Linked DNA regions of Callithrix jacchus. The protein of the gene in region 1 interacts with the protein of each later gene in a pairwise test. Links are inferred from orthologs where the notes say so. Each region holds a gene or a part of one and is shown in the gene's direction. Other genes may lie near its edges. The genes, in order: MRFAP1L1, PSMA1, HTT, BYSL, LNX1, C15H3orf62 and TXN2.

The links.
Region 2: the proteins of MRFAP1L1 (region 1) and PSMA1 interact in binary tests that used the Homo sapiens proteins (3 or more experiments, as listed by UniProt). The two-hybrid records come from large-scale screens. The link is inferred for Callithrix jacchus from reciprocal best matches to the Homo sapiens genes MRFAP1L1 and PSMA1.
Region 3: the proteins of MRFAP1L1 (region 1) and HTT interact in binary tests that used the Homo sapiens proteins (3 or more experiments, as listed by UniProt). The link is inferred for Callithrix jacchus from reciprocal best matches to the Homo sapiens genes MRFAP1L1 and HTT.
Region 4: the proteins of MRFAP1L1 (region 1) and BYSL interact in binary tests that used the Homo sapiens proteins (3 or more experiments, as listed by UniProt). The two-hybrid records come from large-scale screens. The link is inferred for Callithrix jacchus from reciprocal best matches to the Homo sapiens genes MRFAP1L1 and BYSL.
Region 5: the proteins of MRFAP1L1 (region 1) and LNX1 interact in binary tests that used the Homo sapiens proteins (3 or more experiments, as listed by UniProt). The link is inferred for Callithrix jacchus from reciprocal best matches to the Homo sapiens genes MRFAP1L1 and LNX1.
Region 6: the proteins of MRFAP1L1 (region 1) and C15H3orf62 interact in binary tests that used the Homo sapiens proteins (3 or more experiments, as listed by UniProt). The two-hybrid records come from large-scale screens. The link is inferred for Callithrix jacchus from reciprocal best matches to the Homo sapiens genes MRFAP1L1 and C3orf62.
Region 7: the proteins of MRFAP1L1 (region 1) and TXN2 interact in binary tests that used the Homo sapiens proteins (3 or more experiments, as listed by UniProt). The two-hybrid records come from large-scale screens. The link is inferred for Callithrix jacchus from reciprocal best matches to the Homo sapiens genes MRFAP1L1 and TXN2.

The regions. Positions count from the first base shown.
Region 1 is NC_133504.1:186,946,485-186,950,633, reverse strand, and holds MRFAP1L1 (MORF4 family-associated protein 1-like 1), read left to right. Parts: upstream 1-1,487; 5' UTR 1,488-1,736; coding exon 1,737-2,120; 3' UTR 2,121-3,649; downstream 3,650-4,149.
Region 2 is NC_133511.1:80,374,564-80,377,910, reverse strand, and holds the end of PSMA1 (proteasome subunit alpha type-1), read left to right. Parts: intron 1-285; coding exon 286-396; intron 397-2,476; coding exon 2,477-2,533; 3' UTR 2,534-2,847; downstream 2,848-3,347. UniProt on the Homo sapiens protein: Component of the 20S core proteasome complex involved in the proteolytic degradation of most intracellular proteins. This complex plays numerous essential roles within the cell by associating with different regulatory particles.
Region 3 is NC_133504.1:189,945,536-189,949,035, reverse strand, and holds part of HTT (huntingtin), read left to right. Parts: intron 1-693; coding exon 694-832; intron 833-1,866; coding exon 1,867-1,989; intron 1,990-3,500.
Region 4 is NC_133505.1:50,424,051-50,428,049, forward strand, and holds the start of BYSL (bystin), read left to right. Parts: upstream 1-1,199; 5' UTR 1,200-1,259; coding exon 1,260-1,527; intron 1,528-3,999. UniProt on the Homo sapiens protein: Required for processing of 20S pre-rRNA precursor and biogenesis of 40S ribosomal subunits. May be required for trophinin-dependent regulation of cell adhesion during implantation of human embryos.
Region 5 is NC_133504.1:143,048,487-143,052,563, forward strand, and holds the start of LNX1 (E3 ubiquitin-protein ligase LNX), read left to right. Parts: upstream 1-1,277; 5' UTR 1,278-1,581; intron 1,582-4,077.
Region 6 is NC_133516.1:31,876,830-31,879,111, reverse strand, and holds the end of C15H3orf62 (uncharacterized protein C3orf62 homolog), read left to right. Parts: intron 1-1,298; coding exon 1,299-1,564; 3' UTR 1,565-1,782; downstream 1,783-2,282. UniProt on the Homo sapiens protein: Essential for normal spermatogenesis and male fertility.
Region 7 is NC_133502.1:207,432,896-207,437,028, reverse strand, and holds the start of TXN2 (thioredoxin, mitochondrial), read left to right. Parts: upstream 1-1,333; 5' UTR 1,334-1,553; exon of another isoform or gene 1,554-1,557; intron 1,558-1,647; exon of another isoform or gene 1,648-1,797; intron 1,798-2,208; coding exon 2,209-2,459; intron 2,460-4,133.

The DNA.
Region 1 (4,149 bases):
CCAGAACTGTGAGAAGATAAATGTCTGTGTTTAAGCCACGCAGCCTCTGGTGCTTAGTTGTGGTGCCCAGAGTGGAGTAAGACATCCATCAAGAATGCATGAGAGTTCCGTTTGTTCAGCATCTTCCCCAATGCTTGGTATTGTCAGCATTTTAAATTTGAGTCATTCTAGTGGATGGACAGTGCTTCCTCATTGCGGTTTTAATTTTCATTTCTCTGCTGAATCGTGACGTTGAGCACGTTTTCACATACATATTGGCCATTTGGATATTCTCTTTTGCTAAGTGCCAGCTTTTGTCTTTTGTCCATTAAAAAAAATTTTTTTTCTTGTTGATCTCTAGGAGTTCTCGATATATTCTGCATGAGTCCTTTGCCAGATAGAGCTATTGAAAATATCCTTTTTTTCAGTGTCCTGCTCTTTTTCTCTTAATGTTCTTTTGATGAACATCTGCTAGAACATTGGTGGTTGCAAAACTGTTTCACACACATCATCTTACAAATGCCTCTTCCCACTGACAGATATTCAGGCTGGGGCCATTGGTCTTTATGAGACTGGAAAACTGAAGCTCTCATCTATGGCACTTGTGCAAGAAGGATTCCCCCCTCTACACACACTCGTATCACTACTAGTGTGGCACTGGGTGACTAAGCCTCGCAATAGACTCCTCTATTCCACAAAGGCATCAGGTTGGTGATCAAAGCCACATTTACTAGGCCCCTGCTGACTTTCAGGTCCTGTGTGTGGTAGGTACATAAGGGTGAGCAAGACCAGAACCCATCCCCAAACAGCCTCCAGTCTGGCAGAGGCACTGAGGTACTAGAGAAGAATTCCTGTCTCTAAAGCATCCCCTAAGGCCCTGCTTGACGCCAGGCTGATAGGAAGGGCGGAGGACAGAACTGAAACAGAAGTGGCCCTTTACCTTGAAAACCTTACAGACTGCTGAAGAGCGACTAAAAACCACAGGCCAGAACCACCCAAGGCAGAGAGAGAAATCCACTCCCTACCCCCCGAGAAAAAAAGCATGAGCCAGGGGTGGGGAGAACAAGGGACCTGCTCCGTTCTGGAACAGTGAGCACACTGTGGACACACATTGCTTTGGGCTCAAATCATGACTCTGGCCTGGTTTTTACCTCTCTTATAGGTTCGTTGTGAGCGCTAAGTGAATTTCATATAAATTATTCCAAGCTTGTGCATGTTTAGAGAGTAAGCGCTGTGAACGCCAGCCCGTCTTATTCAAATATAGGGATGGGGAGGGTCGCTTTTACTTAAAAAAAATAATAAAAGTAAAAGCCCTCTAAAGAGAGCTTTCCGAGGAAGACGCGAACAAACCTGCCGCCACCGACCTAATTTTTAGAGAAGAGAGCCGAGCGGAGCGCCGGGAAACAGGTGGCGAATGGGCCGCGCGCGCCCGCTACCTGGTCTTGCCACAGGCGTGACCGTAAAGGGGCCCGGCCCTGTCGTGAAAGGGCCGCAAACAGGCGGAGGGCGAGTTGACGGCTGCGTCTCCATTTTGTTGGTCGCTGCGCTGTGTCCGTCCACGGTGATTCTTCCGATAGAGTTCCGAAGCGAAAGGCTTACAATTAAAAGGAAGAAAAAATTTAAAGATAATTCGGGAGTACTATGGACAAAGCGTGTGGATCGCCTAGACTCCAGCAGTAACTCCTGATCTGCAGTCCCCAGGGGGGTCCAGTAAGGATAACGTCACTACTGCGGTCTTAAAGAAGCGGCAGGAGGAGATGCGGCCTCTGGACATCGACGAGGTGGAAGCGCCAGAGGAGGTGGAGGTGCTGGAGCCCGAGGAGGATTTCGAGCAGTTCCTGCTCCCGGTCATCAACGAGATGCGCGAGGACATCGCGTCTCTTATACGCGAGCACGGGCGGGCGTACCTGCGGACCAGGAGCAAGCTGTGGGAGATGGACAATATGCTCATCCAGATCAAGACGCAGGTGGAGGCCTCGGAGGAGAGCGCCCTCAACCAGGCGCAGCACCCGAGTGGCGAAGCCGACGAGAGAGTGTCGGAGTTGTGCGAGAAGGCCGAGGAGAAGGCCAAGGAGATCGCGAAGATGGCAGAGATGCTGGTCGAGCTCGTCTGGCGAATAGAGAGAAGTGAGTCTTCTTGAAGGAGGACATCGGTGGTAAGGTCTGAACCTGGCGGGAGCTCGGATGGAACTCAGTAGTCGCCCTAAGCATGGTGTGAAACCGCGCCCTGTCAAAAGTTATATCCTAGGCCTGCACTCCCCGCCCCCCCCCATTTTTATTGCATCAAAAATTGAGCATTGGGAACGAAGTTGGGGTCAAGAGGAAAGAATGCGTGCTGGTTTTGTTAGGTGTTAGTGTACCGTTTTTGTATGGCCTCTCCCTCCCACACTGATAGAGGAAAATAAAAGTAACTTGGGGTTTGTGAAACATGAAAGTCAATTCTAATAGGGCGGTCCCCAGAAGTAGACCTGACTAGGCACCAAGGGAGTTTGGGGAAAGCCAAAGAAAACCTAGGCCGTAGAGCAAAATGGAACGCAGGGCGAGAACGCAGGCAAAGAGAAAGAGTAAAGCCAGAGGACATTACCTGAAATTTCCAGATTGTTCTATGAGGCAGGTATGTCAGAAGACCCTGTCTCAAAGCAGTGGCATTCTTCTGGTTGGTTAACATTTATTTTTAACATCAGGATATGGAACTTTTCATGGTCAATTTCTCCCAATTGTGCTTTAGGTTCACAGCTGAGGACTATAGTCAGCTGGTAAGGATGAACTGACACATTGAGGAAACCGAAACCGCTTGTCATCTCTGTTTTGTTTTTGTATGTTTTTTACCCCCATGTAACAGTCTCCCTTATGGTCAGTGATTGATAAGCTCGGTATGGGTTTACATCTTCAAATGTATTTGGTTCTGGAAGGATAACTTTTGTGGGAGAAATACTGTTGTAAGAGAAACGGGGCTTCATCAAAAGTTGTTTTCGCCGTTACTTTTATTCTTGTTACTTGCTTTTGAAATGTTGGGCATGACCTTGTATTTTGCTGTTACCTTTGTGACCTGATTGTTTTTTGGAACACATCAAGACCTGGGATCAGAATCTTCCGACTTTAGAGGGGCCTGCCTTGCACTACTTGGTTGAGCCTCGTGAAGAATGTATTAATGAGGCAGCTTTGCATAAAGCTGGGAAGACCGAGAAGACAGCTGGAGATGGAAGTGGTTTTGTATATATTTTGGAACTTTCGTTCCTCTGTGAGATGAAAGAGGAGAGCTATGTTTTGTGGCACATTGTCTGATGTATCTTGTGTAATCTGTCAGGTGAGTTGATTTAGACAGCATAGCTGACCTTATGTGACAAGGCAGTGAGTATGGACTGTTGTAATACCCTCACACATCACAGGGGCTTCAGAGAATGGCACTGAAGAGACAGTCTACAAAGAGCCTTGAGAGACTGGAGAAAGGAAAAGACATTATCAGGGCCTGGAAAGTCTCTTCCAGTTCATCAGGGTAGTAGACCTGTCAGATTGGAGGTCAAAGTCAAACATATAAAAAGTGTTAATTTGCCTTGAAAAACAAAGACCTCAAAAGCCTTTTTTAAGAAATAAATTTTTCGTTCACATGACCAAAACCCCTCCTGTGTGTGTTAACAAAAGAATCATAAATAAATTTTTTTGAAATGGATGTTCTTCATTGTCATCAAATGGGGTTGAACTGCTTCTAGTTAAAGGCTCTTGGTAAGCCTTTAACTGAGGGAGAATTATTTCTGGAACATGCTATGGAGATGAGCTGACAGAAACCCAGTTCTGGAGAGAAAAACTTTCGGCCATCCTCTGGGTCCAGCCCCTACCTTTCAGCAGCAGACATGTGTTTAGTCACCCAGTGGGAATGTGACGTGCTTCATATCCTGCACGTAAAGGTAAGAGATGAATGGGGCGAAGGTGTGGGACAGAAACGGAATATAAGGAACTGCAGACAGAGTGCGTGGGTGTCTTGTGGGAGCCCTGAGGAGGGAGTCACCTCTGCATAGGGGAGTGTGCAAACTCAGAGCAGGTGACTTACCTGGGCCTGAAAAGTAGAAATGAGTGAAGGCATATGAGGCACAGGGATCAAAGTGAGCAGAAGCCTTTCAAGTTATAGCACTGGGGAGATGGCCGGTGAGCTGGAAGTTAAGGAGTGTGGAT
Region 2 (3,347 bases), on another chromosome or scaffold:
ACAGGTGTGAGCCACCACGCCCGGCCGCCTGCATAATCTTTTTAAAAAAATGTTTCTTGATAACATAGATCTTTGGAGTTACTCATGATAATCAAAAGTGAGTATTAATATTAAATCTGCTAATGACAAGGGTCTGCTAGTTTCTTTTTTCCCCTACACATAAGTAGTTTTTAAAGTTTTATTCAAGTGCTATAATAAATTCTTATTCTGCTTTGTTCACTCAATATTTTATCATATATATTTTTTCTCTTAATTATTTTATTTTTATGATTTTTTATCCCTCAGAATGTTTCCATTGGAATTGTTGGTAAAGACTTGGAGTTTACAATCTATGATGATGATGATGTATCTCCATTCCTGGAAGGTCTTGAAGAAAGGCCACAGAGAAAGGCACAGGTATATAATCATAACACAAGAGGCTTTAGTTCTATTGTAAGATTCCGTTATTACCACAACTGTGTTTGTAAATTTTCCATTTTGTCATAAATATTGAAATGGGCCCATAATTCAAATAGCAATTGGGAAATTAAGAACTGAGTAAAGTTAAATATTGAGGGGACAATGATATCCATAAACACAGAAAGGGAGAAGCATTGATTATTTGGTTATCTATTGCTAGTTAATAAGCTACCCCAAAACTTAGGGGCTTAGAACAACAAACACTACTTCTCATAATTTTGCGGCTGACTAGGACTTAGCTGCAGGGTTCTTTGCTGGTTTAACCTGGGATCTCTCAATTGCAGTCATTTGTAGGGTGCAACTGGAAGACCCAAGATAACTTTAGTCCCATGTCTTCTTTACTCACACCTTCTAGGTGTCTTAGAGGAGCATCTAGAAGGCAGGGACCTCTTCTAGGATGACTGAGCCTCTGTCCATGTAGTCTCAGGGCCGCTTCTTCAGCAGGGTCTCTCTAGTATGTTGGCAACTCAGGGCTTGCAAAAGTCAGAAGTGAAAGTTGCCAGACATTCTTAAGGCTGAGACACAGGACTGGCACATCATCACCTGTACACATTCTGTTTGTTAAACTGTGTCACTGGCCGGACCCAGATTCTGTCTGAGCGGAGACTGGGAGAAATATTCACTGGGGGCCAGCTTTGGACACTAAGATGGCTCTTCATAAAGAGAAAAGCATCAAGAAATGAATCTCAGGTTAAATATGGGTCTTTTTGCTGGATGTTTAGAATACATATTTGCTATTTATAGATGCTTATTTGATACCTGTGTAATTGAAAGTAAAAAAGAATCTAGTATGGAAATTTCTATAGCATGTGTTTTTTCCAACTTGAAAAGGATATTGTTGGTACTGTTTGGGGGAGCAAGATTTGTAGTATTTAAACTGTTTTTGGTAAAAAAGTAGCACTGTTGGGAAGCATGCTGTGAAATAACACAGAGTTTAGTAAAGGGGTAAAGAATGTCTAAAAAGTGCTGATTGTATTTTAAGCATAGTAGTGATAATATAAGGAAAGTTTTTACTCCTGAGCAATACAAAGTACAATAAAATGGTAGAATTGTTCAATGCTGTTTAGGTTTTCAGAACTGCGAAATGATATATACAGTTACCTTTGAACAGTGTGAGGAATAGTAGTAGCAAACCCCATCACAGTAGAAAATCCACATATAACTTTTGACTCCCAAAATCTTCTGATAGCCTGCTGTCGACTGGAAGGCTTACCAATAACATAAACAGGCAGTTAACACATATAGATTAGTTTCTTTTTTGTTCTTTTTTAAGACAAGGTCTTGCCCTCTTGTCCATGCTGGGGTGCAGTGGTGCCATCATAGCTCACTGCAAGGTCGAATTCCTGGGCTCAAGTGATTCTCCCATCTCACCTCCCTCCACCCCCCTCGCCACCAAGTAACTGAGACTACAGGTGCGTGCCACCATGCCCAGCTAATTTTTTTTTTGTATTTAGTAGAGATGGGATCTCACTGTGTTGCCCAGGCTGTTTTCAAATTCCTGGGCTCAAGTAATCCTCCTGCCTCGGCATCCCAGAGTGTTGGGATTGCAGATGTGAACCGCTGCATCCGACCAAATAGACTAGTTTCTACATATATTTTATGCATTCATGGCATACCTTTTTCTTATTTATTTTTTATTTCTAGGCTACACAGTTGGTCTGCTAGTTTATATTTATTGGGGGAAAAAAAAAACTTCACCCTAAACAATGTTAGAATAAAAGCAAACAAAAAAGAAAAAAAATCTACATGCCAGTGGACCCTCACTGTTTAAACCTGTGTTGTTCAAGGGCTAACTGTATTTTTTTTTAATAAAAAAATATTCACCTCAAATCATGAGTACTCAAGGAGAAAAAAAAAACTGCTCAGAAATGTTAATGGGACAGTGAACTAAAACTGAGTATTCAGAATATCTCTTTACCTCTTTTTCTCCATTTTTTATAATGTAATATTTGTGATTAGATGTATATATTGATCAGGTGTTCATTTTACATGTATTCTTTTTTCTTTCCCTGTTAAGCCTGCTCAACCTGCTGATGAACCTGCAGAAAAGGCTGATGAACCAATGGAACATTAAGTGATAAGCCAGTCTATATATATATTATCAAATATGTAAGAATACAGGCACCACATACTGATGACAGTAATTATACTTTGAACCAAAAGTTGCAGACTAGTGGAATGCTATGTTTTAGGTATCAGTCCAGATGTGAGTTTTTCCTAGCAACCTCACTGAAACCATACAGTGGAATACATTTGTCTTTGAAAGGGTCTGTATAATCATTTTCTAGAAAGTATGGGTATCTGTACTAATGTTTTTATATGAAGAAAATAGGTGTCTTTGTGGTTTTAAACACAACTTTGAAATAAAATTGTTTCACCGCCCTGGTATATTGGGTTTTTGTTTTTTCAAGTACCTTCAACTATATATAGTGGTATGGGATTACAACTGATCATTTGCCAAATTAAATTGCCTTATTTTTAGTGATGGAGAAAAATAATACCTCTTATCTATCATAGCCTTATAACAATTCTCCAGTGTATGGATTGGCTTCCTAAGAATCTGTGGAGATTTGGTTTAGAATATAAGTTTCAGGGTTCAACCGTGGTGATTCTAATTAAAACCTAAGAAACCACCACTTCCTGACATAAACATCAGTTATCATATGAATGGTTTTCTTTCCAACCAGCAGATGGCAGTAGTTGTAGCTCTGGTCTTTGTAGGGAACTTCTGCAAAAATAACACTTGGGAAATTTGAATCCCAAACCTTTTATCCGCTCCAGTCCCACTCCAGCATGATTTTAAGCTGCCTTCTTTTATTCCCATGAGTGGTATACTCAGGTGTTGCAGAACAATTTTTATCTTGAACCATGCAAAATGAAATTAAAGG
Region 3 (3,500 bases), about 3.0 Mb from region 1:
CACACACACAGATAATTATGCTTTGATTTCAGTCTTAAGAGTACCTTGATGGTATTTGTAAATGGGATTGGGCACAGTTTGGCGGACAGTCAGTTTGGGATGATATTTCAGTCTGTAGGGCCAAGCTATTTTACAATTTGCATTTTGAAGTTGTCACTCTCCTAGCAGATGGTGGGAGATAAACTATTACTTCTTAACCTCAGACTTAGTCTTCGGTCCAGATGAGGAAGATTAAAAGATTATAAATATCTTGCACCAGATGAGGTGATTTTATCTTGAAATGACCATAAATTCGTATCAGTTGTTTCACCGGGATATTTGTGGTGGAGTTTGTACACTTGAGTTTTAGGATAGATGATCTGTTTTACATTTATTAAGAATGCCTTTATACCACGTATTGCCTGTTGCAATGTTTTGAGTATATTCCAGAAGTGAAATTTCTGGGAAATAATAATAGAATACAAACTGTGACTTGAAAGTCAACTAGGGCCTGCATTTGTATCATGATCTGTTTGAGTGTTGGTGAGAAAACAGCTGTAAAGAAAAAGTTTTAAACAAGTTGCGTTTTCCTTTAAGAAGCCACTAAGCGTGAGTCCTTTTAGTGTATATTTCTAGACTCCTAGTTTGCGGAGTTTAGACTAAGACTAAAAAAAAAAAAATTGTGTTGTAACTTCATTTTTGTTTGTATTTTAGACACCAAAGGCTCTATTCCCTGCTGGACAGGTTTCGTCTCTCCACCCTGCAAGACTCACTCAGTCCCTCTCCTCCAGTCTCTTCCCACCCGCTGGACGGGGATGGGCACGTGTCACTGGAAACAGTGAGTCCAGACAAAGTAAGTGTCCAGCCTGTCTGCATGGGAGGTACAGGGCACATGCAGGGTGGTGCTGAGTGCCACTGTCACCTCTAGCAGATAGAGAGTGTGCAGAGGAGGTACAGTGAACCCAAGGAGTCTGGGGCTCGGCCCGAGCCAGCTTTGGTTAGAGATGTGGGGCACCACTAAGGTCCTAGGATGTGGGACCCATATGTTAGGAGTATGGGGCCCAGTAGTTAGTGGGTGAATCAAGGGAAGGTTGGCCAGGGCCTGCAGGATTCTGACTGCACAGGCCTTCAAGCACCTGTCAGTGCGTTTAGCCTGCCTCCATTTCCTTACGCCTTCTGGCCTCCTGTCAGTTGCACCACCACTGCCAGCCATTCTGGCATGTTGTCAGCACCTCCACTGCTCACACTCAGGGTTACTTAGGGACTGCCTGGAGCCTTGGTAGAGCCTTGGTACTCTACTTTCCTGGAGAGAGTTCAGCTTATGAATGTGAATTTAGATTTCAAAAACCCGCAGCCCAAGTATAGGAAAGCGAATGTTCAGTCCTGCCTTCTTAGGCTTTGTTGCACCTGCCCTGCCCTGGTTGCTGGGGAGAGACGAGCAAAGCAAAGCCCAGGGAGGATGTAAAGGGGCTGCTAACCCTTAGTGCTTTAGCTGTATTTGGAAGGACTGTTGGAAGTTCACGAGGTGACAGGGAGACTGCAAGGGTGCTCAGGCAGGTAACGGAAGTCCAAAGGTGGTGTGGGTAACGGAAGTCCAAAGGTGGTATGGCTCCCCACATAAAGCTGTATTTGGAAGGACTGTTGGAAGTTCACGAGGTGACAGGGAGACTGCAAGGGTGCTCAGGCAGGTAACGGAAGTCCAAAGGTGGTATGGCTCCCCACACCTGTGGTGTGGGGACCCATAGGGCCACAGCATGCTGGCTGTTGTCCCTCTTGGTTAGCCCAGTGCAGTGTTCCCAAGCACTGGCCTAGGCCCGTAGCTCCAGGAATGTGAAGACCCCTTGAATGCCGCCCATCATGTTCCCTGTATCCATTTTTTCTTCTCAGGACTGGTACATCCATCTTGTCAAATCCCAGTGTTGGACCAGGTCAGACTCTGCACTGCTGGAAGGTGCAGAGTTGGTGAATCGGATTCCTGCTGAAGATATGAGTGCCTTCATGATGAACTCGGTACGGGGGGGAGCAGCGGAGGCAAGGAATCCTCAACTTTTACTTGTGACTTCCAAGTGGGATTTGTCTCATCATCATGACCCACTTGTTGACAACACCTGCTGGGGACTCCACTCTGGCTATGGACAGGAGGCTGGGGAGACTCCTGTCTGAATGGGGCTGGGAAGTGGGGAGGACTCGATTTCAGATGGGGCTGGGACGTGGGGGATATGCTGATCCAGATAGGAAAGCACATTATTTCAGCCATGTTAGAATCCAAGAAGGCAAGTTGATTTCACTCAACCTTTCATGCATTTAAAGAAAATGTAGATGGTGGCCAGGTGTGGTGGCTTATGCCTGTAATCTCAGCACTTTGGGAGTCCAAGGCGGGCGGATCACCTGAGGTCAGGAGTTCGAAACCAGCCTGACCAACATGGAGAAACTCCATCTCTACTAAAAATACAAAAATTAGCTGGGCATGGTGGTGCATGCCTGTAATCCCAGCTACTCGGGAGGCTGAGGCAGGAGAATTGCTTGAACCCAGGAGGCAGAGGTTGCGGTGAGCCGAGATTGTGCCACTGCACTCCAGCCTGGGCAACAAAAGCGAAACTCCGTCTCAGAAAAAAAAAAAAAGGAGGTGATCTTGTATTATAGTCAGTTTGCTTCTTTGTTCTCATGGCAGTGAGGAAGGGTTTTGGATTGTTGTCTGAGGTCGAGAATATGAGGGAATGAAGTGTGGCCCTGGGCACTCCGATTGGCATCTGTGGTGGGGAATATGAGCGGCAGGGGAGCAGGGTAGAAACTGGATGGCAATTGGAAGCAGGCAACTGTGGAATTTGAAACAAGTTGATGGGAACCCTCTCTCAAGAGGAGGTACTGTTTTGAAATTCAGCTGGCCCCAAGGCTGGGTGTATGGTTTAGGATGAGAACTATTTGGCCTCCACCAGAGGAACAAACACGGGATTTTATCACCTACACTCATTGGCCAACACAGAATGGAAGTCAAGGTTGCATATTTGCCATAGACTTTGACACAACATCATGCATGCCTTCAATAGCATGTTTATTCTGGAAGTTAAAGGAGACTCTTGGATGCAGTGAGATTTCCTCTACCCATACCTCTGTTAGATGTAGTGAGGTTCTTCACCTCCCAATCCCAGATGTCAGAGGGCACCCTGTGCAGAGCCAGCCCAGGAGGCCTTGGTGTCCCTGTACTCCAAGCCCATGGACAGGTCCTGTGAGCAGCAGGGGCCTGCCTCTTGCGTGTGGTGCAGCTGTGGCCCGAGCAGGGTTTCCTCTCGGACCTGCTGGGACGGGAGAAACTTCCTGGTGTGTTAGCCCTGCGTCGATAAGCAGCAAATGGGAGGGAAGTGGGCACCTGGGAGGGCAAAGGCATGTAGAGCTGGGGGTGGCTGCAGGTGTTCATGAAAAGACCTTTCAGGGAACGCAGCACAACAGGGTGTTCTGACGCATTGAAGAGCTATACTGAAAACAGGAGAACTCGCCCAAAATTGGTTTGCTAAAATCGTTTA
Region 4 (3,999 bases), on another chromosome or scaffold:
ATGTCTGGGACCTAGTACCTTACAACTAATGCCTCCGCGAGCGTTGTACCTTTCCCTGCCACCTCATCTTCCAACTGAGACTTAAAACATATGAAAGATAAAAACTCCATTGAAACTAGACCAACCATGGAATTAAACATAGTGAGAAGCAGGTCCTAAAGAGTGCCTGGAACCACGATCTCCTTCTTATCAATAGCCTCTTTTTTCCTCTAGACCCAAGATCTTAAAATGGGCAAATTACAAACAGACACCAGCTGGTCTAACTGCATTTGATGGCTGAGACAAGGGTAGGCGAAAATCTCAAAAAAAAAAAAAAAAAATACTGTCTCCTGATCGCTTTTAACCTACTCCCTCCAACCCTGTCTGCAGGTAGGTCCTAATCCAAAGTCCCTATTTCCAACCTTGAGGTCCAAGTGCAGACAGTACTATGGCCTCACGGGAAGGAAGATGTACCCATAAGGGAAGAAGGTACATAACCATTGATAGGTCCCTGGTATAAAACCTTTGCTCTGCCGCCTTCCAAGAGGTAAGAGCGCATCTCCGAGGAAAAAGGCCCAGGGAACCCGCGGCCCGCACGGTATCCTCTTATCCAGATAACCCGAGGACATTTCGCTCAGCTCCCAGAGGACGGCGGGCCATGGTCAAGGACCTCTTCCCGGCCCTTCACAACTCCAAATCCCGCCCCACAAAACCCCTGCAGTCCTACCAAGTCACTCCCATGGTGTCGGGACAGGAAGGTGGCAGGATCACACAGTAGAAATGCGTCGTTCCCAGTCCGCCCACAGGAACTGCTTCAGTTCCCCAACACAGGCTTCGGTCGCAGAAGGGATTCCGGAAATACGTAAAAACAGAGCGCCGGGTCCACGCCTTCCCCAAGGAATGGGGCGTGTCTTGGCACCCGTCGGTGACGCCTCCAGTGACATAATCAGTGGATTCCCGCTCTCATGTTTCTAGCTCCGGAAATTCCCGGTTGGCTGAGCACTCTAGGCTTAGATCCATGAAGCTAGAAGAACGAGACTTAGACTGCACTATTGAGAGACGCCAACGTTAAAGGAAGTAAATGTATTTGGGAGTCCAGCTCCGGAACCCAGGAGCTCTTTTAGTGGGAGGGGCGGTGCTGATAGCGCTTCTGGCCTCCGATAGCTAGAGGGCGCTGTGATCGCAGCGTGGCCTCTTGGGAGGTGGGAGTTCACCCAAGTGTATTCTGGCCTTTTCGTCGTCCCCACGTGCGAACCTTCCCGGCAGTATTTTCAAGAAAAATGCCCAAGTTCAAGGCCACCCGTGGGGCCGGGGGTCAGGAAAAACATGCGCCCCTGGCTGAGCAGATCCTAGCTGGGAATGCGTTGCGGGCAGGGGTCCGGGAGAAGCGGCGGGGTCGTGGCACCGGAGAAGAGGAGGAAGAGTATGTGGGGCCTCGGCTGAGCCGACGGATTTTGCAGCAAGCACGGCAGCAACAGGAGGAGCTCGAGGCCGAGCATGGGACTGGGGACAAGCCCGCGGCGCCGCAGGAACGCACCACGCGGCTGGGTGAGTGTCTGGGATGAGGTCCGAACAAGACAATGGCTAGCAGCGGGGCCGGGGGCGGGGGGGAGGACAGCTAAAAAGTGTCCGGCAGGGGACTTGCAAAAGTAATGGAATGGGAGACTAAGCAATGGCCAGAGACCTCCGCGCCCACTCCTAGTTTTAGGCACTCCCTTCTAGGCACCCCCGAAGTTAGGCCAATAGGAAGTAATCGCTCGCGCCACTAAGTGTTCTTAGCATTTATCCATTGGTTTTGTAAATATTTATGGAAAACCTACTACGAGCTTTGCGCTATGCTCGAAGTTCAATCGAATATTTGAGTACAGAAGTAACAACATACAGACACGTCTGATTTAAGGACCTTACAGTCAAGCCCAGCGGAGAGACAATTACGTAGACTCTTAGAATAATATATTTCCATGATAAAATATCGTTTCCCTGGTGACAGTAGCATTGGTCTTGAGAAGCTTCTCCGATTGTAGGACCTTTAAGCTGAGAACTGAAAAACGAATGGGAAGTGTAATGAGCAGAAAACACGTTTCGCAGACAAAAAGGGAGAGAAATGAATTGACGTTTGATAGGTTCTTACTAGGGAGGGAGTGCTTACCTCTGAGGTGCTTCATCCACTTCTCAGATCTCATCTAAAGCAATATTTGACACAATTGAATAGTGGCCTCCTGCCCACAGTATCCTTACTTGGGTTATAAGACATCAACACTGCTGTTTCACTGCCACCTCACTTCTCAATATCGTTGGCTGACTCTTACTTGCAACCTCTTATCCTCAGTCCTCTGACCTCTTCTCTTCAGATATTCTCTAGTGCTGTCAGGTTTCATGGTTTCAATACCATCTCTTGGGTGACTACTCCTAACTTTATATTTTAGCCCTGATCTCTTTCATGAAATCCAGATTCTTATATTCAACTGCCTATTTGGCACCTCCAATTTGAAACAGCTCAAATTTAACATGTACAAAACCAATCCTGACCTTCTCTCCAAACCTGCTTCTCTCACCACTGTCTCAGTGAGTAGCATGATATTCTTTCATTTGCTAAAGATAAACATGACTCCTCTCTCTCCCTCCCTCCCCACATCTGATCTGTAAGGAAATTCTGATAACTCTGCCATCAAGTTATATCCAAAATCAGACCACTTTTCACCACTTTGGAACACCATCCTGTTCAAGCCACCAGTCTCTCACATTAGATTATCACAGACTCACCTGGATTATCACAGTAGCCTCCTAGATAGTATCTCATATTCTCCTTTTTTTCTTTTCTTTCCTTTCCTTTTTATTTTATTTTTAGACAGAGTCTCTCGCTCTGTCTCCCAGGGTAGAGTGCAGTGGCACAATCTTAGCTCACCGCAGCCTCAATCTCCTGGGCTCCGGCTATCTTCCCACCCGAGCCTCCCACATAGAGCTGGGACCACAGGTGTATGCCACCATGTATCCACCTAATTCTTTTTTTTTAGACAGTCACTCTGTCACGTAGGCTGGAGTGGTGTGATCTCGGCTCCCTGCAACCTCTGCCACCCAGATTCAAGCAATTCTCCTGCCTCAGCCTCCTGAGTAGTTGAGGTTACAGGTGTGAGCCACCCCGTCCAGCTAATTTTTGTATTTTTAGTAGAGATGGGGTTTTACCATGTTGGCCAGACTGGTCTTGAACTCCTGACCTCAGGTGATCTGCCCACTTCAGCCTCCCAAAGTGTTGGGATTACAGGCATAAGCCACCACGCCTAGCCGCTAATGCTTTAATTATCTGTAGAGATGAGGTCCCATAGTGTTGCCCAGGTTGGTCTCAAACTCAGGCGATCCTCCCTGCCTTGGCCTCCCAAAGCGCTGGGATTACAGGTGTGAACTACCATGCCCTGCTGTATCTCGTACTCTTCAGAACACTCAACAGCTGGGGTACGGGGGTCTACAATCCCTATACCATCTGCCTCCTTGCCAGTCTGACCTCTTCTACTGCTTTCTCCTTTGCCCATTCCACTCGATCTATATAGGCATCATTGTGTTTTGTTTTGTTTTGAGACAGAGTCTCACTCAGTTGCCCAGGCTGGAATTCAATGGCAAGATCTTGGCTCACTGCAACCTCCACCTCCCAGGTTCAAGCAATTCTCCTGCCTCTGCCTCCCAAGTATCTGGGATTACAGGCACCCAACACCACACCCAGCAAATTTTTTTTCTTTTTTTGTATTTTTAGTAGAGATAGGGTTTTGCCGTGTTGGCCAGCCTGGTCTCAAACTACTGACCTCAGGTGATCCAGCCACCTTGGCCTCCCAAAGTGCTAGGATTACAGGCATGAGCCATCGCGCCTTGCCCATAATAGTTATCTTTTAACCCAATATATTTATACATTTATTTATGTCTGTCTCTTCCAATTAGATGAGATCAGTGCGTTCAGGGTGGTATGGTCATAGACTGTCTCCTCCAGTTAGAATGTAAGCTGTATAAGAACAAAGTTTTTTAGTTTCTCTT
Region 5 (4,077 bases), about 44 Mb from region 1:
CTTCATCTCACCAGGCAGAAGTTTCCAGGCTGGTCATTTTGCCTCCTTCATTCCCTGGATTATTGATTAAAAGAAACTTGCAGCAGTTTGACTCTGAAAGTCAAAAGGACAAAGTAGCAATCAGGCCATGACCGAAATGCACACAGAGGCCAAGGGACTTGCAGAGCACTTCCTTGTTTGTAAATCAGAGTCACAGTGGAGAGCTGAAGGCACTGCAGCCAGTAGCACCACCTGTGATTACGGGGCCACAAGTACCTGAACTCTCTGTGTCCTTCTTGCATGATGCATATACATAAGGTAACACCAAGGACTCGACTCACATCTCTGGAAGGAGACTACTTAACTCACTAATTATTTATGTTTCTATTTAGAATCTGATACCCAGAGCTAATCACTTATTTAAGCAAAATCTTTGGTCCTTACTGGAGCTGTCAGCCCACATTAGTGCTTAGGTCAACTGGTGGGAAAAGCAAAGCTCAGAAAAGCCCACTTCTGGAATCACAATGTTTACATTTTTAATTAGCTGGGTCACTCTGCAGGAATGACTTAGTCTCTCTAATCCTCAGTTTCTTTATCTGTATAATGGGAGTGATAATGATAGGATTCTGTTGAGAATTAAATGAAATAATGCAGGTCGGGTGATTACTATAGAATCTGGTAGACAGTAAGCACTTAATAAATGTTAGCAAAGATGTTGCAGCCGCTGACGATGGTGATGATGGTGATGATGCTGAAGAATGAGCAGAAGAAATACTTATTTAAACAATAATTCTATATCTTTGGAGTTAAAAGTCTTAAATAGTATCAGCCACAAACATGCCCATTCCTTTTTTTTTGTCTACAAACATTAGGCAATGTTCAGTTATGAGCAATACTGCCTATGGAAAATCTTTGAAAGTTTTGGCAAGGTATTAGAACAAGTCAGAACTACTTATTTGCCTGATACTGATTTTGGTGCATGCCCCTTTACTTATTGAAAAATAAAAGATGCCCAGGATTCTAGGGCCTGTCCAGTCAGCAGCCCCTGCCTATTAAGGAGTTGGTCCCAGCATGATAATGTTCCAGACCTACTGATGGCCTGAAGGTGTGGTGACCCTGTGTTTATTTCCTTGTTGATTTCCCTTCTCTGGCTCCAAGATCATTTTCCCATTGCCCGCAGGAAACAACATCTAGGGGAGAGGTAGGCCTGACTTGGCAACCCTAAAGGTGAACAAAAGGATCTTGACTTTTGGCAAGAGCAGAAGGAAGTTCAGGGGTGTCTCAGCCCCATCCAAACCAGACAGATTTGTCACTGATGGTAATGCATGCTGCTCTGCGGGAGACTGCTCTTCCTTGAATCTCCCCATAGCTGCTGTCAGATTTATGGATCTCTTCTACCCAAAGCCTTGCAGAAGGGGCAGGAGATGCCCTGGTTAACCCCTGCATGGAAAAAGGCGGAGCAGTTTTTATACACAGCTGGGGCACAGAACACTGGAAAGAGAAAGAAAAGTTTTCTGAGCTACTGCTAAGCCAGAAAAGCTCAGCTCTCAAAAGAACTATCTCCTGAGACCTCACACAGCTGGGAGACCTCATACAGCAAAGGTAAGATAGCCTTGTCCCTCCACCAGCTAGAATCTCATGCAGTTTTTTAAAACAACTCCACCTCTGCCCACTCGGCCTCCAACTCTCCCCTCTCTCTGTCTCTCTCTCTCTCTTTCTCTCTCTCTCTCTCTCTCTCTCTCTCTCTCTCTCTCTCTCTCTCTCTCACACACACACACACACACACACACACACACACGCATCAAATTGAAGAGAGTCTAAAAGATGGAAAATATCCAGGGGTGTCTTTTTCAAAACACTAGAAAGACCTCAGGACATTTGCTCTCTTTATACCTATTTTCCTGCAGTGGTCTTCATTAAAAGCTTCTTTACTTTCACAGATGAAAATGACTTGCCAGACAGGTCAGTGAAACCGTGAGGAATCCCACTAGCAGTAACTGGATTTACATGACATTATTCTTCATCAGTATTTAAAACACATCACACACAGACTTCATTTCACTCCGCAGTAGGAGTAGGTATTGCACTGCAGTTTTACCTACAGATAAAGAGGTTCAGAGAGCTGTGACCTGCCCACGGGTGTGTCGGGCTGGGGTGCCCGGCAGCACACCCTGTGCCCACTCCCGCCTCTCTTCTATAGAATGGCGACCTTACTCTTTAAACAAAATTCCAGACTACATTCTTGGCCATGTATTCTGACAAATGGTCTGATGAGAGGATGGAATTTTAGAAATTGAACTCTTCTGGAAAATCCAGAAATAGATAACCACAGTATCCTGTACAATATACCACTTTGTCATGTATCCCTGTTTACTTCCATTCCTGGGCATTGAATTCAGTTCAACAAATGTCGACAAACTATGTTCCCTGCTCCAACACTGACTGGGTCATATGTCAGGGTGCGATGCAAGCCCTGTGCCCAAGGAGAACTGAGGCAGCAGTTCAGACCAGGATGGGGAGCTCCCCTAAAGAGGTGAGCTTCAAACGAGCTCAGCATAAAGTGTGGACTTGGATTGAGGGAGAGTGTTTAGAAACACAAGTCCCTGGGAGGAATCTGTTGAGTGACCATTTACTTACACCTAGTCCATGGTGGCAGAGCTGAGGGGTGAGGAGCACAGTCTGAGGAATTAGACCGTCTGGCCTTGACTCTTGGTTCTACCTCTCACTAGCTCTACATCTTGGCGTACCTCGGTTAACCCCTCTAACCTCACCTTGCCAATATGTGAAATGGGAATGATGGTAATATGTCCCTCATAGGGTTGTCTTCAGCTGTAAATGAGATTATGCATGTGAAGTCTTTGCTGATGCATAATAAGTGCACAGTAAATATTAATACTAACTATCGTGATGGCCATGTGCCTGGTTCCAAGGGAGATGCAGGGAATACAGATAAGAGGAGGCCTACCCTCCATGTAACCAAAACCTCATGAGTTAGTTGTGTGCAACTAGTGCCATGTGGTGTGATGCATGCTCTGAGACTATGGGGGTGGAATCTTCTAAGTCTATGTGAGTTCCAGTTGGGGTTCTAGGGGACAGCGAAGGGGGCAGAGGTTTCACAGCAGAGGGCCTATGTGTAGGGCCTTAGTAAAGAATGGTGAAAAGAGCTAGACAGGTCTAATTCTGATTCCCAGCTTCCTCCTCTATTTATGTATCTATTTATTTCTATATTAATCCATATGTATTGAAAACCATAAATTCACACTTCCAACACCACAGAGTTTTCTCCCTTTCTGAATTTGTAACTGCCGTCATTAACATTGATCAGAGGCTGGCTCCCATTATCCTTAATATATTATTTGTTTATTTGTTCGGTCCCCCAAATATCACCAACTGCCATCATGACCAGTGTCCCCTGCCCCATTCAGATGCCCTCCGCACCCTGCTTAGGCCCTGATGCTTTGTTCTGGGCCTCCCTGAGCTGGCTCCTGGAATTCTGGAGCTACGATATGTCCTCCACACCCCGCACAGGTGCCTACTTTGCTCAGCCACGTGTAATATTTTTAAAGACTGTGACCTGCGCTGTGCATGTGTGTATGTACCTGTGTTGTCACTGTCTTTGATGGGGAACAGAGCTTTCTCCTTCGTATAGGCAGGGCACATGTCCTCAGCATCAGGCCTAAAGAAGTCAGGCTTATGCCATTCATTCTATTCCACTTGGTCTGCTCATCTATATGGATGTGAGCTGCTCACTATCTGCTCAGGGTAGTAACAACATTTCCAGGGTAAAAACCACTACTGGGGCAGTTAATTCTCCTTTTTCTTCTCTGCCAAGTCCTTGTCAAGGTTCTCCATTATTCATTTTACTCAACAACAGATACAAAGCGCTTACGAGGTATGAGGTGCTTGGCTAGGGTGGGACATAGAGATTTAAATCTTGATTGCTACCCTCAAGGAACTCCCAGTCCACTGTGGGAAGCAAATAAGCAATAAATTTCAATTCCATGTGGACAAGTGCAATGAGAGCCTACACAACCTGCCAGGGGAGGGCACCTAGCCCAGACTGGGTGGGCACAGAAGAGATGCCAAAAGGGAATCCTA
Region 6 (2,282 bases), on another chromosome or scaffold:
GAAATCTGTATGTTCTATATGTGAACTACATGTGCTCTATTTTTTATTTATTTTGTCTTTTTATTATTAGTAGTAGTATTTTTTATAAATAGAGACAAGGTCTTGCTTTGTTACCCAGGCTGGTCTTGAACTCCTGGTCTCAAGTGATCCTCCTGCCTCAGCCTCTCAAAGTGCTGGGGCATACCAACCAATGTGCCCTGTTTTTACAGGCTTACCATGCCAGTGTGCCCTGTTTTTAAACAACTCATACTACATAGTAGACAAACAGCTCCTAGTAAAGGGCTGAATAGCCTTGGGTGCTGCCTGAAGCTGTTGTTTCTGAAAGGTCTCCAGGTTATGAGGGAGAAAAAGAAGGCCTGGAGAGGATAGGTACTCATCCTGGGCCACAAAGTAAAACCCCTGCCAGCCTGTGACTTCAGTGGCCTGCTCCAATAGCCCGAGGAGGTGAACTGAAATCATTACTGCCTCTACCCACCATCTTCCTTGGCCTTCACCAACATCAGGGAGCATTTTCTTTTCTTTTCTTTTCTTTTTTTTTTTTTTTGAGACAGGGTCTCACTCTGTTGCCTAGTCTGGTCTCAAAACTCCTGGCTGCAAGTGATTATTCTACCTCAGCCTCCCAAGTTGCTGGGACTGCATGTACACACCACCACTCCTGGCTAGGAACATTTTTGTTACCCTAAAGACCTTGTTTTTTTTTTCACATTGTGTTTTGTCATCCCTGAGAACCAGGACAACAATGTACATTTCTTTTTCTTTTTTTTGGTTTGGATTCTCGCTCTGTCTCCAGGCTGGAGTACAGTGGTGCGATCTCAGCTCACTGCAACCTCAGCCTCCAAGTTTCAAGTGATTACCCTGCCTCAGCCTCCTGAGTAGCTGGGACTACTCACCATGCCCGGCTAGTTTTTTGCATTAGTAGAGACAGGTTTCACCATGTTCGCCAGGATGGTCTCGATCTCCTGACCTCATGATCCGCCTTCCTCAGCCTCCCAAAGTGCTAGGATTACAGGTGTGAGTCACCGCACCTGGCCAACCAGGTACATTTCGGTATCCTCCCATTTATACCTTTCTTGGGGAGTGGCATATAGTTGGAACTCAATAAATGCTTGGGCCTGAAAGGAGGATACCAAACCTACCTTAATTTGGCAGTCCAGCAGCTTACCTGCCCTGGGGCAGAAATGTCTGCTTTTCCACAATCCCTGAAGAATGACAACCCATTAATGGTTTTTAACTTGTACCTGAAATGTCTTCAGAAACCTTCCACTGGAATTGTAAAGCTAAATGTTCTTATTTTTAAGACCATACAAGCATCCGAACTATTGAAGAATTGGCTGGAAAAATAGAATTTGAAAATGAATTAAACCACGTGTGTGGTCATTGTCAAGATTCACCCTTCAGGAAGGAAGCCTGGGCCCTGCTCCTGAACAAGAGTCCTCAGAAGGCCTCAGATACTGACCCTGGCAGCCTCAAACAGGCTTTTGATGATCATAATATCATTGAGACTGTTCTGGACTTGGAAGAGGACTACAATGTGATGACCTCTTTTAAATATCAAATTGAGTAAGGACAGTTGATCTAAGCCTTACAGCAGGAGGTAGCCCTTGAGCCTGAGCAGAAGCAGCCACAGTGGCCATCAGGGGCCACATTTCTAAAAAAGTTGGCAGAACCTGAATTACCAGACCATGTTTAACTCCCAGTTGTGTCCCTTTTTAAGCTGTGAGACTAGTTTTTTGAATTCTATTGCTTTGAAGTGTTTCCTATTATTATTATTTTTTTACTTGACATCTTGAATGTGTTTTTTTGATTCATGTTCAGTATACCCAGTATCCAAGGTAGGTATGGGTCGTGGGCCTCTGCTGTGTCTCTTGGTGTTCTTTTCCATGGGCCCCTAAAAAATACAGGAGTGGCCAGGTACAGTGGCTCACGCCTATAATCCCAGCACTTTGGGAGGCCAAGGCAGATGGATCACTTGAGGTCAGGAGTTCCAGACCTAGGGCCTGGCCAACATGGCGAAATCCCATCTCCACTAAAAATACAAAAATTAGCCAGGAGTGGTGGCATGCACCTTATAGGTCCCAGCTACTCAGGAGGCTGAGGCAGGAGAATTGCTTGAACCCAGGAGGCAGAGGTTGCAGTGAGCCAAGATTGCGCCACCACACTCCAGCCTGGGTGACAGAGGCAAGACTCCATCTAAAAAATAATAATAATTTAACTGGGCATGGTGGTTCATGCCTGTAGTCCCAGCTACTTAGAGGGCTGAGGCTGGGGGGATCACTTGAGGC
Region 7 (4,133 bases), on another chromosome or scaffold:
AAAATTGGAGTTCACTATATCTAACATCCCAAAGTGCTGGGATTACAGGTGTGAGCCACTGCACCCAGCCTACTTCATCATTTTGCAAAGGCAGTTCCAATAATACAGAATATCGTCTGGTCAACGATGGATGCACAGAGAAGGCCAGGAAAGGGTCACCAGAGATGATATCTGTTTAAGTCTATCCTGGCCAGCATGGTGAAACCCCGTCTCTACTAAAATGCAAAAAATTAGCTGAGCGTATTGGTGCGTGCCTGTAGTCCCAGCTACTCAGGAGGCTGAAGCAGGGAAATCGCTTGAACTGGGAGGCAGAGGTTGCAGTGAGCCAAAATCAGGCCACTGCACTCCAGCCTGACGACAGAGCAAGAAGAATTTTTTTTTTCTTTCATATGCAAGGTTACCTGAATGAGAAAGAATTTATGTTAAGCTATTGATTGGTTGAAAATTGTTCTTTGTATTACAAATTCCAGGAACAGGTGAGGCTGCTAGTGAAAACTTAAAATAGGATGGGTGCAGTGTGGCTCAAGCCTGTAATCCCAGCACTTTGGGAGGCCAAAGGGGGCGGATCACTTGAGCTCAGGAGTTCGAGACCAGCCTGGCCGACATAGAGAAACTCCATCCTACCAAAAATACAAAATTAGCCGGTTGTGGTGGCACGTGCCTGTAATCCCAGCTACTTGGGAGGCTGAGGCAGGAGAATCGCCTGAACCCGGGAGTTGGAGGTTGCAGTGAGCCAACATCGCACCATTGCACTCCAGCTTGGGCGACTCAGCGAAACTCTGTCATTCATAAATAAATAAATAAAAATAAAATAAAGCAACAGGAATTGGCAAAATCCAAAACCAGGGGACCTCTCAACCGCCTTTCTCCCTTAAGTACCCTGCCTTGCTACCACCACTCCCAGCCTGGGCGACAGAGCGACACGCTGTCATTCATAAATAAATAAATAAAATAAAGCAAAATAAGTTGGCAAAATCCAAAACTACGGGGACCTCTCAACCGCCTTTTCTCCCTTAAGTATTTTCCCTTGCTACACACCCCGCCCCCGCTCCATCACCTCCTCTTCCGGTCCTTCCTCTAGGGCCCGCCCACCTTTTCCGGTTCCTCCCCCGCAACCCTCCATCTGCCCAGACCAGGGTCGGCCCGCTTCTTCCAATCCCTACCCCGACGGCCTCTTCATTGCTTCCGGTCCCTAACTGAGGCCCCGCCCCTTCGGCTGTGACTCCTCCCGCCATCCCTTTTGGCGGAAAATCGTAGACCCCCAAATTGGAGACCGATGCTTTTCCGCTTGTCTGCCCCCGGAAGTGACGCTAGGCCTGTCCTCTGAGGAAGTGACGACAGGAGTGCCCTTGACTGGGAGGGCTGGATTCTGCATCCCTCCGCTGGCGGTGCAGGGAGGTAGGAGTGCTGTGGGGGTGGCCCCAGGTGGTGTCGATGCTGTGGCACGCTGCTAGCGCGTTCCTGCGCAGGTTGACGGCTAAGCGGGCGGAGGCCCCGGGTGGGTGGAGGCCCCGGGCGGAGGGACCTGGCTCGCCGGAGAGCGGGGGTCCCTGGTAGGTCCGTTTTTACCCATTTCCCTCCACACGTGTCCCTTTTTGATTGTTCCTTCCAGTACATGTCTCTTCGTTTTTGGTTCCTCTCACACTCAGTTCCTCCTTGAATTGTTACGTGTCATCTTTCCCAATCATTTTATCCTCCTAATCTCCCATTAAAACACGTTTTCAAAGAGCAATAGTTGGAGTGAGGACTTGGCGGACGACCCTAGGTTCCAATGCTGGCTGTCACTTAATAGCGGGGGTACTTTGGGCTTGTCACTTAACTTGCTTAACCTCGAATTCCTTTCCTTATTTTTGATATGGGCAGTGCAATAGTAGGAAGATCAATAATGCATGTAAGGCACTTGGCCCTTAGCAGGTGCACCATAAATATTGGTTTATTCCTCTCATTCTTCTGTTATAATCTAAATCCTGATTTCTTCTTGGTTGTGAAGCCAGTTTTCCTGTCCTCCTGATTTGCCTGGCTATTCCTTCCCTTTGATTCTCATTGCTTCATCACTTCTACACTACAAATCTTACATATTATTTCCTTGCATTTTGCTTCCAACTCTGCCTCTTCTTGAACCCCAAGTACTCCCCAAATCCCTTTCTTTTTCTAGTGTGTTGCCTTCCTTTTTGTGTACCCCAGTTCTTCCGCCTCTTTCCCTCACAGATGGCTCAGCGACTTCTCCTGAGGAGGTTCCTGGCCTCGGTCGTCTCCAGGAAGTTCTCTCAGGGTTGGGGGCCACCCCTCACTTCCCAAGCTCTGCAGACCCCTCGTGGCCTGACTGTAACACCCAACCCAGCCCGGACAATATACACCACCAGGATCTCCTTGACGACCTTTAATATCCAGGATGGACCTGACTTTCAAGACCGAGTGGTCAACAGTGAAACGCCAGTGGTTGTGGATTTCCATGCACAGTGAGTACTGGGGGTCCATGGAAGACTAGGGTCCTACATGTTCAGCTGTTTATTGAACACCTGCTACATCCCAGGACCATATTTGATGCTGCTCATGTGTAGACTCATTACAAAGACTGGTCAGACCCAGTCCCTGCCCTCAAGGAGAGTGCAGTCTGGTAGAAGACAGATGAGTGAACAGTCTGCAAAGCTGACTGTGGTTAGTGCTGGGAAACACATATTGTGTTCTCATTGCCCAGAAAGCTCAGCATCATCTGCATGGACCAGAGTTGGAAAAATACAACTGTAGTGTCATCTTGCTTTTGGTGTATACCAGTTCCTGGCCCTGCAGATAAGTTGATTTTAACATCTTGCCATGAAATCTGTGGGAAGGGCTAGCAAAAAGTTATCAGTGTTGGCCTGGCATGTTGGCTCATGCCTGTGATCCCAGCACTTTGGTAGGCTGAGGTGGGTGGATCATTTGAGATCAGGTGTTTGAGACCAACCTGATAACCAAACCCTGTCTACTAAAAATAGAAAAGTAGCCAGGGGTGGTGGCGTGCACCTGTAATCCCAGCTACCTGGGAGGCTGAGACAGGAGAATCACTTGAACCCAGGAGGTGGAAGTTGCAGTGAGCCGAGATCATGCCATTGCACTCTAGCCTGGACAAAAAGAGCAAAACTCTGTCTCAAAAAAAAAAAAAAAAAAATCAATATCACTGCTGTGGTGCCCAAGCATGCAGGGCATAGGAAGGCGTTTTCTTTCAGTGCTGAGTTTGTTTTAGAGAGAAATATTAAGTCCCTCTGCCCTTCTGATTTTTAGCCTGGCTTTTTTCATTTCTAGACCTTTGGGGCCTGGCTAGACACCTAACTACACAAAAGCTGGACAAAGCTCTCTGAATGAGGCATCCTGGGAGAGGAACCAGTGAAGCATAAGTTACAAAATCAGGGGCCTTCAGGTCGGTCGCAGTGGCTCACACCTGTAATCCCAGCACTTTGGGAGGCCAAGGCAGGCGGATCACCTGCGGTCAGGAGTTCGAGACCTGCTTAGCCGACATAATGAAACTCTGTCTCTACTAAAAATGCAAAAATTAGCCAGGTATGGTGGCAGGCATCTGTAATCCCAGATACCTGGAGGCTGAGGCAGGAGAATTGCTTGAACCCAGGAAGTGGAGGTTGCAGTGAGCCGAGATCGTGCCGTTGCACTCTAGCCTGTCAAAAAAGCGGAACTCGATCTCAGGGAAAAAAAAAAGATATGAAAGGGCCTTCTGGGCAGGTATCTGACAGATTCTTTTGCCATCTTTCCAGTTCTTTCTCTGACTCACCCTGTGGCCTTGGGCAGGCCACTTGATATTCTTGTCTACCCTTTCTTCACTTATAATAGGAGTTAAGTTCTTGCACAAAGGGTTTTTAGGTGTTACGAGTTGTTTTTATTTTATTTTATTTTTTGAGACAAGGTCTCACTTTGTCACCCTGGCTAGAGTGTAGAGTGCAATGGTACAATCAAGGCTTACTGCAGTCCCTACCTCTTGATCTCAAGCAGTCCTCCCATCTTGGCCTCCCAGAGTGCTGGGATTATAGGCATGAACCACTGCACCAGGCCTGAGGGGTATTTTTCTTTTTTCTTTTGAGACAGATTCTTACTCTGTTGCCCAGGCTGGAATTCAGTTGCACGATCAGCTCACCACAACCTCC